Linked DNA regions of Oryzias latipes. Each later gene encodes a partner of the first gene's protein in a complex. Links are inferred from orthologs where the notes say so. Each region holds a gene or a part of one and is shown on either strand. Other genes may lie near its edges.

What was found.
Region 2: the proteins of katnb1 (region 1) and katna1 are in contact, whole or in part, in a crystal structure (PDB 5OW5), measured with the Mus musculus proteins. The link is inferred for Oryzias latipes from reciprocal best matches to the Homo sapiens genes KATNB1 and KATNA1. Residues at the interface, in NP_083081.2 of Mus musculus: Leu485, Val486, Asp487, Glu488, Ala490, Met491, Gln493, Ile494, Arg495, Gly497, His498, Met501, Phe502, Val504, Leu505, Thr506, Arg508, His509, Leu512, Asp513, Val515, Arg516, Trp519, Thr521, Asp542, Leu543, Ile546, Gln549, Lys550, Leu553; in NP_035965.2 of Mus musculus: Leu5, Gln6, Ile8, Val9, Val12, Arg16, Ala19, Leu20, Leu21, Gly22, Tyr24, Tyr31, Tyr41, Leu50, Lys53, Trp54, Gln56, Val57, Glu60, Ile61, Val63, Glu64, Gln67, Val68, Asp70, Ile71, Thr74, Leu75, Ser77, Phe78.

The regions. Positions count from the first base shown.
Region 1 is NC_019861.2:37,562,071-37,569,927, reverse strand, and holds the end of katnb1 (katanin p80 WD40 repeat-containing subunit B1), read left to right. Parts: intron 1-172; coding exon 173-249; intron 250-322; coding exon 323-397; intron 398-5,084; coding exon 5,085-5,201; intron 5,202-5,276; coding exon 5,277-5,418; 3' UTR 5,419-5,501; downstream 5,502-7,857.
Region 2 is NC_019882.2:10,465,636-10,472,998, reverse strand, and holds the end of katna1 (katanin p60 ATPase-containing subunit A1), read left to right. Parts: intron 1-1,241; coding exon 1,242-1,428; intron 1,429-1,528; coding exon 1,529-1,626; intron 1,627-2,138; coding exon 2,139-2,244; intron 2,245-2,324; coding exon 2,325-2,483; intron 2,484-3,526; coding exon 3,527-3,653; intron 3,654-3,738; coding exon 3,739-3,873; intron 3,874-4,044; coding exon 4,045-4,171; intron 4,172-4,242; coding exon 4,243-4,441; 3' UTR 4,442-4,716; downstream 4,717-7,363. UniProt on the Homo sapiens protein: Catalytic subunit of a complex which severs microtubules in an ATP-dependent manner. Microtubule severing may promote rapid reorganization of cellular microtubule arrays and the release of microtubules from the centrosome following nucleation.

The DNA.
Region 1 (7,857 bases):
AAGTGCCTTGCTCATTGGCTTCAGGGAAATGCAAAAACTTAGCCGACGACCTAACGGCTGATAAATGTGGAAACGAATGAATCTAAAATTCAGGAAAAATCTGTTGAATCTGATTTTGCAGATTTCTTTTTGTAAATGTGGCTGAAGGTTCAAACGCCGTCTCTGTCTGCAGGAAGCTCTGGAAACCGCCGTCTCCATGAAGGACCTGTCCATCGTGGTGGACATCCTGAACAAGATCAACCTGCAGCCGTGAGGATGCAGCACGTGCACGTGCATGCACACACGTTGACACACTCACAGCTTGTTTGTTTGTTTGGGGCAGGTCTCTCTGGAGTCTGGACGCCTGCACCCTCCTCCTTCCTCAGGTCCACAAGCTGCTGCAGAGCAAATACGAGAGGTGACCGTTGTGTTTCTGCCCACAGTCGCACAGATTGACACAAACATTAACAACTGAACACAAACGATTCAAGTCCAGAACTGGGGGGGGGGGACTACTGCCCCCTAAACTGGGATCATTTCTATTGATAATCCTTCATTTTATTTGGCCTGTAATTCCAGAGTCTCCCTGTAGGCGGTGCTCTACAGACACCTGTGTTCAGTGGTAGAACTGACTCGGACAGTCATTTTTCCCATCGTTCCATGAACGCAGCGTTTTCCTACGTTTTCTTTTTTTTTTTTTCCTGAAGGGAATCGAGCCGTCGGCGCGAAAACGAGAAAAAATAAAAAAACTCCAAAATGTTTGAATCTAGAATGTTCTCGTCCAGATTCTTTTCTTTCTCTTATGAGGTGCATGTTTTCATGCTTCTGGTCCGGTTCTGGTTCGGCCCGTCGGTCAAACTTTAGGACCGTTTGTGGCCCACGAATCCTAACGTTTGCCCCCCCCCCATGCAGAAAATGGACATTTAAGATGAAGAAAGAGAGACTGCTGCTTCCTGCAGGCCTCATTCAAATGTGTGTCTGTGTGCATGTGTGTTCATGCGTGTGTTCATGCGTGTGTTCATGTGTGTGTTCATGCATGTGTTCATGAGTGTGTTCATGCATGTGTTCATGCGTGTGTTCATGCATGTGTTCATGCGTGTGTTCATGCATGTGTTCATGAGTGTGTTCATGCATGTGTTCATGCATGTGTTCATGAGTGTGTTCATGCATGTGTTCATGCGTGTGCTCATGTGTGTGTTCATGTGTGTGTTCATGTGTGTGCTCATGCGTGTGTTCATGCGTGCGCTCATGCGTGGGCTCATGCGTACGCTCATGCATGTGCTCATGCATGTGCTCATGCATGTGCTCATGCATGTGCTCATGCGTGTGTTCATGTGTGTGTTCATGTTTGTGTTCATGAGTGTGTTCATGCGTGTGCTCATGTGTGTGTTCATGCATGTGTTCATGAGTGTGTTCATGCGTAGGTTCATGCGTGTGCTCATGCGTGTGCTCATGTGTGTGCTCATGCGTGTGTTCATGCGTGTGCTCATGCGTGGGCTCATGCGTACGCTCATGCGTGTGCTCATGCATGGGCTCATGCGTACGCTCATGCATGTGCTCATGCGTGTGTTCATGTGTGTTCATGTGTGTGTTCATGTTTGTGTTCATGAGTGTGTTCATGCGTGTGTTTATGAGTGTGTTCATGCGTGTGTTCATGCGTGTGCTCATGCGTGTGCTCATGCGTGTGCTCATGCCTGTGCTCATGCCTGTGCTCATGCCTCTGCTCATGCCTGTGCTCATGTGTGTGCTCATGCATGTGCTCATGCGTTTGCTCATGCGTATGTGCATGTGTGTTCATGCGTGTGTTCATGCGTGTACTCATGCGTGTGTTCATGCGTGTGTTCACGCGTGTGTTCATGCGTGTGTTCATGTGTGTTCATGCGTGTGTTCATGCGTGTGCTCATGCGTGTTTTCATGCGTGTGTTCATGCGTGTGTTCATGTGTGTGCTCATGCGTGTGCTCATGTTTGTTCATGCGTGTGCTCATGCGTGTGTTCATGCGTGTGCTCATGCGTCTGTTCATGCATGTGTTCATGCGTGTGTTCATGCGTGTACTCATGCGTGTGTTCATGCGTGTGTTCATGCGTGTGTTCATGCGTGTGTTCATGCGTGTGCTCATGTGTGCTCATACGTGTGCTCTTGTGTGTTCTTGTGTGTTCTTGTGTGTTCTTGTGTGTTCATGCGTGTGTTCATGCGTGTGTTCATGCGTGTGCTCATGTGTGCTCATACGTGTGCTCATGCGTGTGTTCATGCGTGTACTCATGCGTGTGCTCATATGTGTGCTCATATGTGTGCTCTTGTGTGTTCATGCGTGTGTTCATGCGTGTGTTCATGCGTGTGTTCATGCGTTTGCTCATGCGTGTGCTCATGCGTGTGTTCATGCGTGTGCTCATACATGTGTTCATACGTGTGTTAATGCATGTGTTCATGCGTGTGTTCATGCGTGTGTTCATGCGTGTGCTCATGCGTGTTCATGCGTTTGCTCATGCGTTTGCTCATGCGTTTGCTCATGCGTGTGCTCATGCGTGTGTTCATGCGTGTGTTCATGCGTGTGCTCATGCGTGTGCTCATGTGTGCTCATACGTGTGCTCTTGTGTGTTCATGCGTGTGTTCATGCGTGTGTTCATGCGTGTGTTCATGCGTGTTCATGCGTGTGCTCATGCATGTGTGCTCATACGTGTGCTCTTGTGTGTTCATGTGTGCTCATGCGTGTGCTCATGCGTGTGCTCATGCGTGTGTTTATGCGCGTGTTCATGTGTTCATGCGTGTGTTCATGCGTGTACTCATGCGTGTGTTCATGAGGGTACTCATGCGTGTGTCATGCGTGTGCTCATGCGTGTGCTCATGCGTGTGTTCATGCGTATACTCATGCGTGTACTCATGCGTGTGTTCATGAGGGTACTCATGCGTGTGTTCGTGCGTGTGTCATGCGTGTGCTCATGCGTGTGCTCATGCCTGTGTTCATGCGTGTGCTCATGTGTGTGTTCATGCGTGTGTTCGTGCGTGTGTTCATGCGTGTGTTCATGCGTGTGCTCATGCGTGTGCTGATGCATATGTTCATGCGTGTACTCGTGCGTGTGTTCGTGCGTGTGTTCGTGCGTGTGTTCGTGCGTGTGCTCATGTGCGTGTGCTGATGCATGTGTTCATGCGTGTACTCATGCGTGTACTCATGCGTGTGCTCATGCGTGTGTTCGTGCGTGTGTTCATGCATGTGTTCATGCGTGTGTTCATGCGTGTGCTCATGTGCGTGTGCTGATGCATGTGTTCATGCGTGTACTCATGCGTGTACTCATGCGTGTGCTCATGCGTGTGTTCGTGCGTGTGTTCATGCGTGTGCTCATGTGCGTGTGCTGATGCATGTGTTCATGCGTGTACTCATGCGTGTACTCATGCGTGTGCTCATGCGTGTGTTCGTGCGTGTGTTCATACATGTGTTCATGCGTGTACTCATGCGTGTACTCGTGCGTGTACTCGTGCGTGTGTTCGTGCGTGTGTTCATGCGTGTATTCATGCGTGTGCTCATGCGTGTGCTGATGCATATGTTCATGCGTGTACTCATGCGTGTACTCGTGCGTGTGTTCGTGCGTGTGTTCATGCGTGTGCTCATGCGTGTGTTCATGCGTGTGCTCATACATGTGTTCATGAGGGTACTCATGCGTGTGTTCGTGCGTGTGTCATGCGTGTGCTCATGCGTGTGCTCATGCGTGTGTTCATGCGTGTACTCATGCCTGTGTTCATGCGTGTGCTCATGCGTGTGCTCATGCCTGTGTTCATGCGTGTGCTCATGCGTGTGTTCATGCGTGTGTTCGTGCGTGTGTTCATGCGTGTGCTCATGCGTGTGCTGATGCATATCTTCATGCGTGTACTCATGCGTGTACTCGTGCGTGTGTTCGTGCGTGTGTTCGTGCGTGTGTTCGTGCGTGTGTTCGTGCGTGTGCTCATGCGTGTGCTCGTGCGTGTGTTCGTGCGTGTGTTCGTGCGTATGTTCGTGCGTGTGTTCATGCGTGTGCTCATGCGTGTGTTCATGCGTGTGCTCATACGTGTGTTCATGTGTGTGCTCATGCGTGTGTTCGTGCGTGTGTTCATGCATGTGTTCATGCGTGTGTTCATGCGTGTGCTCATACATGTGTTCATGAGGGTACTCATGCGTGTGTTCATGCGTGTGTCATGCGTGTGCTCATGCGTGTGTTCATGCGTGTACTCATGCCTGTGTTCATACGTGTGTTCATGAGGGTACTCATGCGTGTGTTCGTGCGTGTGTCATGCGTGTGCTCATGCGTGTGTTCATGCGTGTACTCATGCGTGTGCTCATGCCTGTGTTCATGCGTGTGCTCATGCGTGTGTTCATGCGTGTGTTCGTGCGTGTGTTCATGCGTGTGTTCATGCGTGTGCTCATGCGTGTGCTGATGCATATGTTCATGCGTGTACTCATGCGTGTGTTCGTGCGTGTGTTCATGCGTGTGTTCATGCGTGTGCTCATGCGTGTGCTGATGCATATGTTCATGCGTGTACTCGTGCGTGTGTTCGTGCGTGTGTTCATGCGTGTTCTCATGTGCGTGTGCTGATGCATGTGTTCATGCGTGTACTCATGCGTGTGCTCATGCGTGTGTTCGTGCGTGTGTTCGTGCGTATGTTCGTGCGTGTGTTCGTGCGTGTGTTCGTGCGTGTGCTGATGCATGTGTTCATGCGTGTACTCGTGCGTGTGCTCGTGCGTGTGCTCGTGCGTGTGTTCATGCGTGTGTTCATGCGTGTGTTCATGCGTGTGCTCATGCGTGTGCTGATGCATATGTTCATGCGTGTACTCATGCGTGTACTCGTGCGTGTGTTCGTGCGTGTGCTCATACATGTGTTCATACGTGTGTTCATGCGTGTGTTCATGCGTGTGTTCATGCGTGTGTTCATGCGTGTGTTCATGCTTGTGTTCATACATGTGTTCATGCGTGTGTTCATGGTCGTTCTCATGCATGTGCTCATGCGTGTGCTCATGCGTGTGTTCATGCGTGTGTTCATGCGTGTGTTCATGCGTGTGTTCATGCTTGTGTTCATACATGTGTTCATGCGTGTGTTCATGGTCGTTCTCATGCGTGTGTTCATGCGTGTCCTCAGCTACATCCAGACCGGCTCCACGTCTCTGAAGCTCATCATGAGGCATTTCTGGGCTCTGATCTCAGAGACCCTGAAGGCCCTGCCGTCTGTCGGGGTCGACATCACGCGTGAGGAGCGGTGAGTCCGTGTGTCCTGCAGGGGGCGGCGCCGTCCCAGCCTGCCACCTGCATTTAGTCCCGTTTGTGTCCGCAGACACCGGAAGTGCCAGCAGTGCTGCAAACTCCTGAAGACCACGAGCGTCACGGTGAAGAGCCGCGCCCCGCAGGTGGGTCGTCTGGGCAGCACCTTCCTGGAGCTGCAGCTCGTTTTGGCGCCGCTGGACGAGGCTCCGTGAACCTGGACTTGGCGGCGATGACTTCACTTCCTGCTGTTTACTTTTTGATGTTTTTTCTAAAATAAAGTTTTTGGAAAAAAAGACATTTTTGCCTTTGTCTTCCCAGCAGAAGGGTTGGTGGTTCAGCTCCTAGTTACCTCTGCCAAGTGTCCTTGAGCAAGATGCTGAGGAATGTCAAAGGTTGTTGGTTTGACTCCATCAGTCTTATTTTATCCCTTGTGCTATCTTAGATGACCCCCCCCCCCTCTTCCAGTGACGTGTTCTCCCTACCATGACAAAGGTGGACAAAGGTGGAAAGATTTCATGTAATCCATGGACACCAGTGAAGATCACAAATCACTGAAGAAAAAAGGTTCAGAGCTCTGTCTAGTGGGTCTAGATGACCCATTGTCTAGTGGGTCTAGATGACCCCTCTCCCAATGGTAAAGTGCCTAGGATAGAACAAGTGTTACAACTTTCCCCTTTTGAGTGAAACTGTGTTTATCTTGTTTTAAATATCCCTTCATGTCATGAAAACTCAAAGGCTCGTGGTGGAATGTTTTATTAAAAAGGAAATACAAAAAAAAGCACACAAACTGCAGAAGAAGAAACCGGCTCGGACACGAGATCAATTCCTCGTATTGCTCTGATTGGACAGTCTGGCATTAGCGAAGTACCCTGATTGGTTAAAGGAAAGCTACAGGAGAGGCAGGCAGCATGAGACCAATCTCAGTTTCTTCAAATGAAAAACTTCTGAACTGGAAAGTTCTCCAAGTCTGAACTTTCCACTCCAATTTCAAAATAAAAGTTTTATCTCAAAATATGAAGAAAAAGTAGAACTTCAAAGCAAAATCTGAATAGAGACAAACGAAACATGTACCTCCTTCACGGGGGTGTTGGAAACAAAAATTAAAACCTTAAAGTGCAAATTTTCAAAGAAAACACTGATTCTGGAAACGGACAGACTTCAGTCCAGCAGGGGGCGCCAAGAGGAGTGCATGGTCCAATCAGCAGCAGGAGCGCCTGAACCAACAGAACCGCCCCAGCAGGAAACCGCCCCAGCAGGGAACTGCCCCTTCGTCCGTCCTTTAGGCCGTCAGCTTCAGTCGTCCTGCAGAAAACAGAGTTCATCAGTCAGTGGTCACATGACGCCTGACCACACCCACACAGGTGATGATAAATATGAAAACACGCATGTAAAGCTGAAGGCCTCATTTCCCACAATCCTCTAAAAACACAGTCAGGGTTTTTTTAACCCTTCAACGACCGCCGCAACTCTTCCAACCGCCTTATGGAATTAACGCAATTCTAACAAAAGCTTCACAATTTGTTGGAATGACGTTGAAAGAGTTGCGCTAATCCGTAACCAGTCAAAGATCAAAGAAGCACGCCGTTTTGCTTTTGCCGGCGGCAACGCTGGTGTTTAGCAAATAGAAGGGTCGTCTCTCTTCACGACCAGCAGGGAGAGCTGTAGAGAAAACATGGCTTCACCTTTAACCCTTGTGCTACCCTATGGGGTCCATATGACCCCCCCCTTCCATTGACGTGTTCTCCCTACCATGACAAAGGTGGATAAAGGTGGAAAGATTTCATGTAATCCATGGACACCAGTGAAGATCACAAATCATTGAAGAAAAAAGGTTCAGAGCACTGTCTAGTGGGTCTAGATGACCCAACTCCCAACGTTAAAGTGCCTGGGATAGCACAAGGGTTAACCTTAAGGCAGGACCTTCCAGTCTACAGAGGAAACTCTAGGGTTGTGTCTGAGTTCCCGCCATAACCTCTACTAAAAATCTATATAGTGCGGTTCTATGTAGAGTCCTGAATTCTAAAAGCCGTTCAGACGCCGCGTTCACGTTTTAAAACGGCGGATATGACGTCATCGATTTCAAAATTAAAATCTAATAGATATGAGCGTTTAGCTATGATTATATATGATCCACTGTCTTCTGAAGATAGAAATGAGGGTTTATTAAAAAAATACATAAATACATTTTTTGGCAAAAAATGTTCCAATGCAATGCATTGTGGTCTTTATTCACCCATCTAGTGAGCATTGATGCACACTGTTTTTTCGCAGAGACTTCTGGGAAATTTCTAGGGTTCTGGATTTTGGAATTGTAGATTCAGACAAACTAGAACCTGGAGAACGCTCTATAGAGTGAGCAGTGAAGGAATTCAGACACAACCTAAGCTTCACAACGTTCACAACAAGTCGATCATTTCTGCGTTCATAACCTCACGTTGATGCGTGTTTACGACTATTTGCAGGCTCTATGAACACGCTAAGTTATGCCAGGTTGAACTTTGACCCATAGGGACTCGTCGTGTGGATGGCGTCCCATTTAATTCCCAGAAGAGCCAACCGTTTAAAATTGAGGATTGAATAATTGCGGTTTGTTCCGGGCTGGAACTCTTTCTTTTATGGGAATGGAATCAGTCTGGAGCCAGATTCACCAG
Region 2 (7,363 bases), on another chromosome or scaffold:
AATTCATGGTTTCAGTTCCTACATCAAATCTTTTATCGCAGACTTTAACTGTATCTGAGACCTGGACAGAGTGTGACGTCATCCATAGAAAGTGAAGTCAATTCAGTCTGCATATTTTAGCATCACGGATGTTGCCATGTTGGAGCCAGACAACGTCAGTAAGGTGCGAGTCGGTCTGCGTCATCTTGTCTATGGCAATCACTCTCGCCAATCAGAAGTGAGCTTGTTGGAAGGCCACACCCCTATCTGATGGTGGACTCTGAACTTAACTGAGACCTTCAGTTCTCTGGGAACTGTTGCTGGACCCATGATGACCTCTTAGGTAGTCGTCGCTGGTATTTTTGGGACCTTTTCTCAGTTTGGATCATGCTATCGTCATGACTGACCAGCAAATTCACCTGGGAAATTTATGTAAGGAGGAAATGTGAGGCACGAGACCCAACAATGAAAACCAGGTGTCTGCAGATCTACACCTCTATGTTACCCAGCATGCAACAGGACCACCAACCAAGGACTTGGTCCTACTCAGTGATACTTTGATAGTAGCACCACATTCTTTCTTTAATAAAATTCAAATTTCCTGAGATATTGACAATGACATTTTTATCAACTGTGAGCTATATTATTCAAAATGAACTATATTATATCTATGTGGGAAAAAATCTGTTTAATCTTTGGGTTTGTTTTTACTGAAATAAATACACTTTTATGATATATTGTATATAAATTTAGAGATAAAAGCAAAATATAAAAAGTGATTAAAGATTTATAGACTTTTAATGTAAAAATGGTGTCATAAAGCCTTCTTGTCTCATTAGTGTTTCTGCTGCTCCCGTGCAGACGTGAACACAGGTAGAAATATTGGAAGCCTCCTTAGTTTAGTTTTTGTTTGCAGTCATTCAGACACATCAGATCCTGGTCACATGATCAGCATTAAAGTCCCACTAGCACGGTAGCACCGCATGGACCAGCAGGACTACAACTTCAGTTCTGAACTTTCATTGTTTTCATTTCATCATGAGATCCAACCTGATGGTTCTTTTGGTTCTTCAATGCTGTTTGAAAAAGGTCTAGGAGTAAGTGAACCTCAAAGAAGGTTGGGATGAATTACCATTAACTCTTAAGTGTAATGGATTAAATAATGTTTCCAGAGGATTCCAAGGTTTATTATAAAAGTGAAGTTCAGGCCAGAGACCTATTTTTTTGTGCATTCATTAGATATTCGTGTTCTTTCTCCTCAGACATTTTCCCTGTCCCATCCGCCGCCCTGATAACCCCTACAAAGACAGCAAATCCCCCAACAACCGGCAGAACGCGGCGGTGAAGGCCCAACAGAGACACTCGCATCGAGGACCCACCGGAGAGCGCAGCAAAGCGCCCAGAGACAAGGAGAAGAAGGAAGCAGCAGGCAAAGCAAAGGAAGATAAGGTGAGAACATTGTTTGCTGTGCTGATCAAAGGCTGGCCCGCCCATCCGTCCAGTTTCTCCCTCAGACGACAGGAGCTGCATTTCTGCTTGCTTTCTTCAGGAGAAGGAGGTGAAACGGTTTGATGGGGCGGGATATGACAAAGACCTGGTGGAGGCTCTGGAGAGAGACATCATTTCACAGAACCCCAACGTGAAGTGGTTCGTCAGTCTTTATTGCTTCTCTCCTGCAGCTCGCCGCTTTGTTTGATCTGTAACGTTAAATATGTCAAACTTACTGTTGCTGTGGTTTCATGCTTTTCAGTTTCCAAATACAGAGTATTTTGTATACAGTAATATGATGAATCATTTATTTTACATAAATATTCTCAGATGTTTATCTGTGTATTTTGAGGAAAACACTGTCAGCAGGTGAAAACGTTTTTACGCCCGAACTGTTTTCTGTCAACAACTTTCTTTCTGGTAAATGGCGTATACTTGTATAGAGCTTTTCTACCTTCCTCGAAGCACACTGGCACTAACTTATAACCACCAGAGCCGAGGTGGGGTTCAGTAGAAAAAACAAAAGTAGAAATGGACACCACCTGTATCTGATGCTAGGTAACAGCCTATTGTAACAGTAACGTCTTTCCAACACAGCAGAACGCTCCTGTTTGAGCAAAATAATCAGGTAATTGGATATCTGTCAGATCTCTTATTGTTCTTGGTTGTAGGGACGACATTGCAGACTTGGAAGATGCCAAAAAGCTGCTAAAGGAAGCAGTGGTGCTGCCCATGTGGATGCCAGAATTTTTCAAAGGCATAAGAAGACCATGGAAGGTACTGATTTTAAAGCATGTGTGTGCGCTTAGTTATCCACTCCCTGCCTTTTCCTAAAACGACTTGGATGGGGTCTTCAGGGGGTGCTCATGGTGGGACCTCCAGGGACAGGAAAGACACTCTTGGCAAAAGCTGTTGCAACTGAATGCAGAACCACATTCTTTAACGTCTCTTCATCCACACTGACCTCCAAGTACAGAGGAGAGTCTGAGAAGCTGGTTCGTCTGCTGTTTGAAATGGTGAGATCTTTTTCAGATTATCTTCCAATTAGAGAATTTGTGCTTTGAGGCATGGGTCTTTAGGTCAAGTACACTTTAGACAAATCTGTATTACAAATACTAGTTTATTTGGTCCATCTCTGTTAAATTCTTGACAGCAGTTCTATTGAGATTTTAAAAAATGTCTCTGCTAATAACTACAAGAACACAGTTTTATGTTTCTCTGATTGGTTGATGCAAGATGCTTTTTTTGCCATTTATAAGCTAAAAATTAAGTTTTGAACATTTTTAAGTCTCCTCCATGAACTGTTTAGGACTCTAGAAGAGTTGGATTCAAGCAGTCGTACATTAGTTTGGTTTCTTTCCTAAATCCAGAAAAAACCTGTCAGTGTTTGCTTACAGGAATCCTTCTTCAACACAGCAATTGTGTTGATAAAAGATCTTAAACCAAGAAATATTAAAAACTGAGCTGGCCTAGATCATTTAACCTTTTTTAGCATTCTAGCCCTAAAATTTGATGAAAGAACACTTTGAAATAGTCCATAATTAATTAAATTAAAGACAAAAGGTCTAAGGAAATCTATCTTAAATAGGTTAAGTTCTTCCTTTATGCAGATGATACAGTGATATTCTGCCTTTATGCTGATAATACTACCACATTCCTCTTTTATGCTGATGATACTTCAACATTCGACTTCTTTCCCGCTGATACTGTATTGATTCGCCTTTATGTTGATGGGACTGTGATGTTCCGTGTTTATGCTAATGATGCTGTGATGATAATCTTCCTAATCTTTTGTGCTGATGATGCTGTGATTTACTGCTCTGTTCACAGCTGAGTTGACAGTCCGTCAGGAAAACTGGTCTTTATGCTCTCAAGTGTTTTATTTTCATGTTCAAGCTGCCGTTTCCACACCAATAATGGGTTCTTACCAGAAACCCGTAGACCTGTTTGTTTCCAACACTTAGGTGTTATCTTCACTAATCCTGGTGACATTTTTCACACATATCTCTTAATGTTTATCATCAATAGTCCTTAGTCATAACATGAGCCACTCTTCCAGGCGCGCTTCTACGCTCCCACTACAATCTTCATTGACGAGATCGATTCCATGTGCAGCCGCAGAGGGACATCAGAAGAGCACGAGGCCAGCAGAAGGGTGAAGGCAGAACTTCTGGTGCAAATGGATGGTATGGAGCTTAGTGTTGCTGCTACACATTCATCATTTTTGCCTTGTGAGCTATTGTTGTAGAACTGTTGGACACTGTGCTGCAGGTGTTGGTGGAGCTTCAGAGAACGAAGACCCATCAAAGATGGTCATGGTGCTGGCTGCCACCAACTTCCCATGGGACATTGACGAGGCTTTGAGGAGACGGCTGGAGAAGAGAATTTACATTCCATTGCCATCAAGTATGTTCTTTCCCCAAAACCATTGGATCTGCTCAAACTTGAACGGAAAGCATCTGGCTTTATCATGCTATTTTACTAATGTTATTTTTACAGCAGTCAAACACATTCACTCATCAGTCTCGCAGCAGTTCTAAGGAGTTTGCTCAAATGACGTGTGTTGGATGTTTGCAGCAACAGGGAGAGTGGAGCTGCTCCGGATCAACCTGCGAGAGCTGGAGCTAGCCAGCAATGTGGTCCTCGACAAGATCGCCGAGCAGATGGACGGCTACTCGGGGGCAGACATCACCAACGTGTGCAGGTCAGACAAACGCAGACTGACTGACAGCAGAAGCTCGTCTGCATTCTGTAACCCTGCCTCATCTTCTGCAGAGACGCCTCTCTGATGGCCATGAGACGCAGAATCGAGGGGCTCACCCCAGATGAGATCCGCAACCTCTCCCGGGACGAGATGCACATGCCCACCACCATGGAGGACTTTGAGTCTGCTTTAAAGAAAGTTTCTAAGTCTGTGTCTGCATCTGATCTGGAGAAGTACGAGAAGTGGATTGAAGAGTTTGGATCATGCTAAAGGAGCTTCTCCTCGCAAGGACTTCCAACCAAACCCGGACTCTGAAGAAGATCCGGTTTGGTTCTTTACAGAAGCTAAATGTCTTTAACACGAAGACTTTAAGAACTGACAGTTAGGAGATCTTTGGACATTGTCAAGATAAAGAAAAAAAATGTTGCACTTTGGAACCAATTCAATTATTTCTGCTTACCTGCTTTCTTGTACTTGATTTGTCTGTAAATGTCTGTTTTAACTTTGTAATTTAAACACATTAAAGAAACACTAGGGAAACATTCTCTTGACTTAAAGTTGTTGTTTTGGCATCTTTGCCTGGTCCAGGCAGCTTTCTGTAAATACGAGTCTTTTAAACTGAACCTGATGGATCAACATTCTCCTAAAAAAAATTGAGTTTTGTTCAGAACCTTTGTTTACTTTGAGATAAAAAAAATATCAGGAACTGAACTTTTAAAGATCTTCATACAATAGAACCAGGTTGAACAAGATGGATGCTGCCCTCCTGCTTCATTCAGCTTTCATGTAGTTTTTCAAGGGCAAATTTTGAAGACTATACAGTAATATTTACCATTACCTAACTTTTTAGGGACAAACTACTATCTTAAAAAAAATGCTATTTATCTTGAAATGAGTAAAAGTCCGTTTTTTTACAGCTTTACAAAGGAAACTAAATCGGATCTGAACTCTTGTTTATTGACTGAAATCTTATATTTTTAAAGCAGCCATTCAGACTGATACTTCACTTATATCATATCTTCTAGCAAGCAGTCATTCTTCAGCATTTATGTTTTGTTGAAACAGATCTACCATTCTTTTGTTGACATGTTTTTTTTTTTACTTTTATCCAGCTCCTGCAGATACCATGCAGGTCCTTGTTTGTGGTCATGACTCGGCATGACAAACATAGAAGAAACCAAGCCAGTTTGCAAATGTACAGAGCACCCTTTGATAAAGCCTTCGGTGAACTCAGCAGGCAAATTTACATAAAAACCAGCGTTGCAGAACGCATTCATGACATCAGCTGTTTGCCTCTATGTTCAAAGGAGGGCAGTGAATGAGATGAAGGGAAATCGGGTGGTAAACTGTAGCTGTTTACACACCATGGAGCTTTTGTGCTTGAATGGTGGTCAAGAGAAAATGTGAAACAGTATGACAGGAAAACGAGGTGTTCATGACAGTTTTTTTAGCAGACTTATGGCCAGTTCAAAGGATTTGAAGGACATTTTACCACAGAGTTAAATGGCATTTGTATCTTTGGTCCCAGGCCAGCCAATTACAAAGCAAACAAAATGTCAATATGATAAAAATTGATCTAAATACAATTCTGATGTAAATATAAACACAAGGTAAAAAGATTTGTTGGAGGTACTATAACCTTTAGTTAAAAATACTGTAAAAAAGTATTGTAAATTCTGAAATACTTTTTTGAGATGTATTTATACTCAAATACTTAAGTATACTTATACTTACTTTAGATTTAGAATTCTTATAACTAAAAATATATTATAGTACTGATGGGGGTAGAGGTAGAGCAATCGACCTCTGATCAGAAGATCAGAGGTTTGGTTCCCGCCTTGTGTCAAAGTAACGTTGGGCACAACACTGAACCCTACATTGCTCCTGGTGGTTATGGGTTGATGGTGCCAGTGTTTGTCAGCAGAGCTGTGTGTGAATGAGTGAATGGGATTGTGACTGTAAACCACTTTAGGCCTTCAAGGAAGACAGAAAACTTCTCTATAAGTATGGTAAACACTATTTACCATTGTAACCCTTGTGCTATCCTAGGCACTTTAACGTTGGGAGTTGGGTCATCTAGACCCACTAGACAGTGCTCTGAACCTTTTTTCTTCAATGATTTGTGATCTTCACTGGTGTCCATGGATGACATGAAATCTTTCCACCTTTATCCACCTTTGTCATGGTAGGGAGAACACGTCAATGTAAGGGTGGGGTCATAGGATAGCACAAGGGTTAAGAATCATCTTTGTAGTAAATCCAACTTCCCCAGGTTTTGTTCACGCAGCTGTCTACTTGAAAAATAAACTGCATCCACTGCTTTCTGAAATAAATTTCCTTTAGGAAAAATAAGTTGTTCACAGCCATAATCACCCAAAACATCTGGAAAAAACATTTCTATTCAGTGGTGTATGTTTTTGTGATCTTGGAGGTCCTCTTGCTTTTTTGTTGTCAAAATTTCAGAGTGAGGCGTTTCTTTGTGCCTCTGGAATAACATAAAGCCTAAAAAATAAGATCTTATTTGTAATGTAATTTTAGTAATCTATTTATTCAACAGTATTTTTACCTTTTTTTCTAATACTTAAATAGTTTTTTTAATGATTCCTTTTTCCTCATTTTATTTTTATTCTTTTGATTAAACAGTTTGTTCTTCAGTCTAATGTATAGAAAAATTTTCCATGAAATAGTTTTGATGCACTTTAAAGGATTTGAAGCCTGTAATCTTTGTGTTATTTACAATAACAGATCAGATCAGTGGTTGTCTTGCTAAAGTGTGTGGAGGTGGTTCTTGCAAAATTTAAGCTGATACTTTGGTCTGAAATTATTCACGTAATTCCTGGTTTTAAATGACTGATCACCTTAACTTGCAGATCTTCTGCCTCGTCAAAGTTTTGATTCAACTACAATTTCTTTAAAGTGAAATTTGACCAGTTTTCCAGTTACGAAGGGACTTTCAGAGCATCTTTTGGTGCCAGTCACTCTGTTCTGTCAAAAAATAACCCAAAGCTGATTTTATCTTTGTTTGTGTCAGACTGCAGCAAAAAAACAACATGAAAGTTGTGAAGAGAAATTTTATTTAGAGCAAAGTTAAACTGAACCACTGTTCATCTGAACTTCATAAAGCTAAAACGCACAAACCATTAAACAGAGCATGTTTAACACACTGTCCCGCTCAAACATCGTACTTTCACA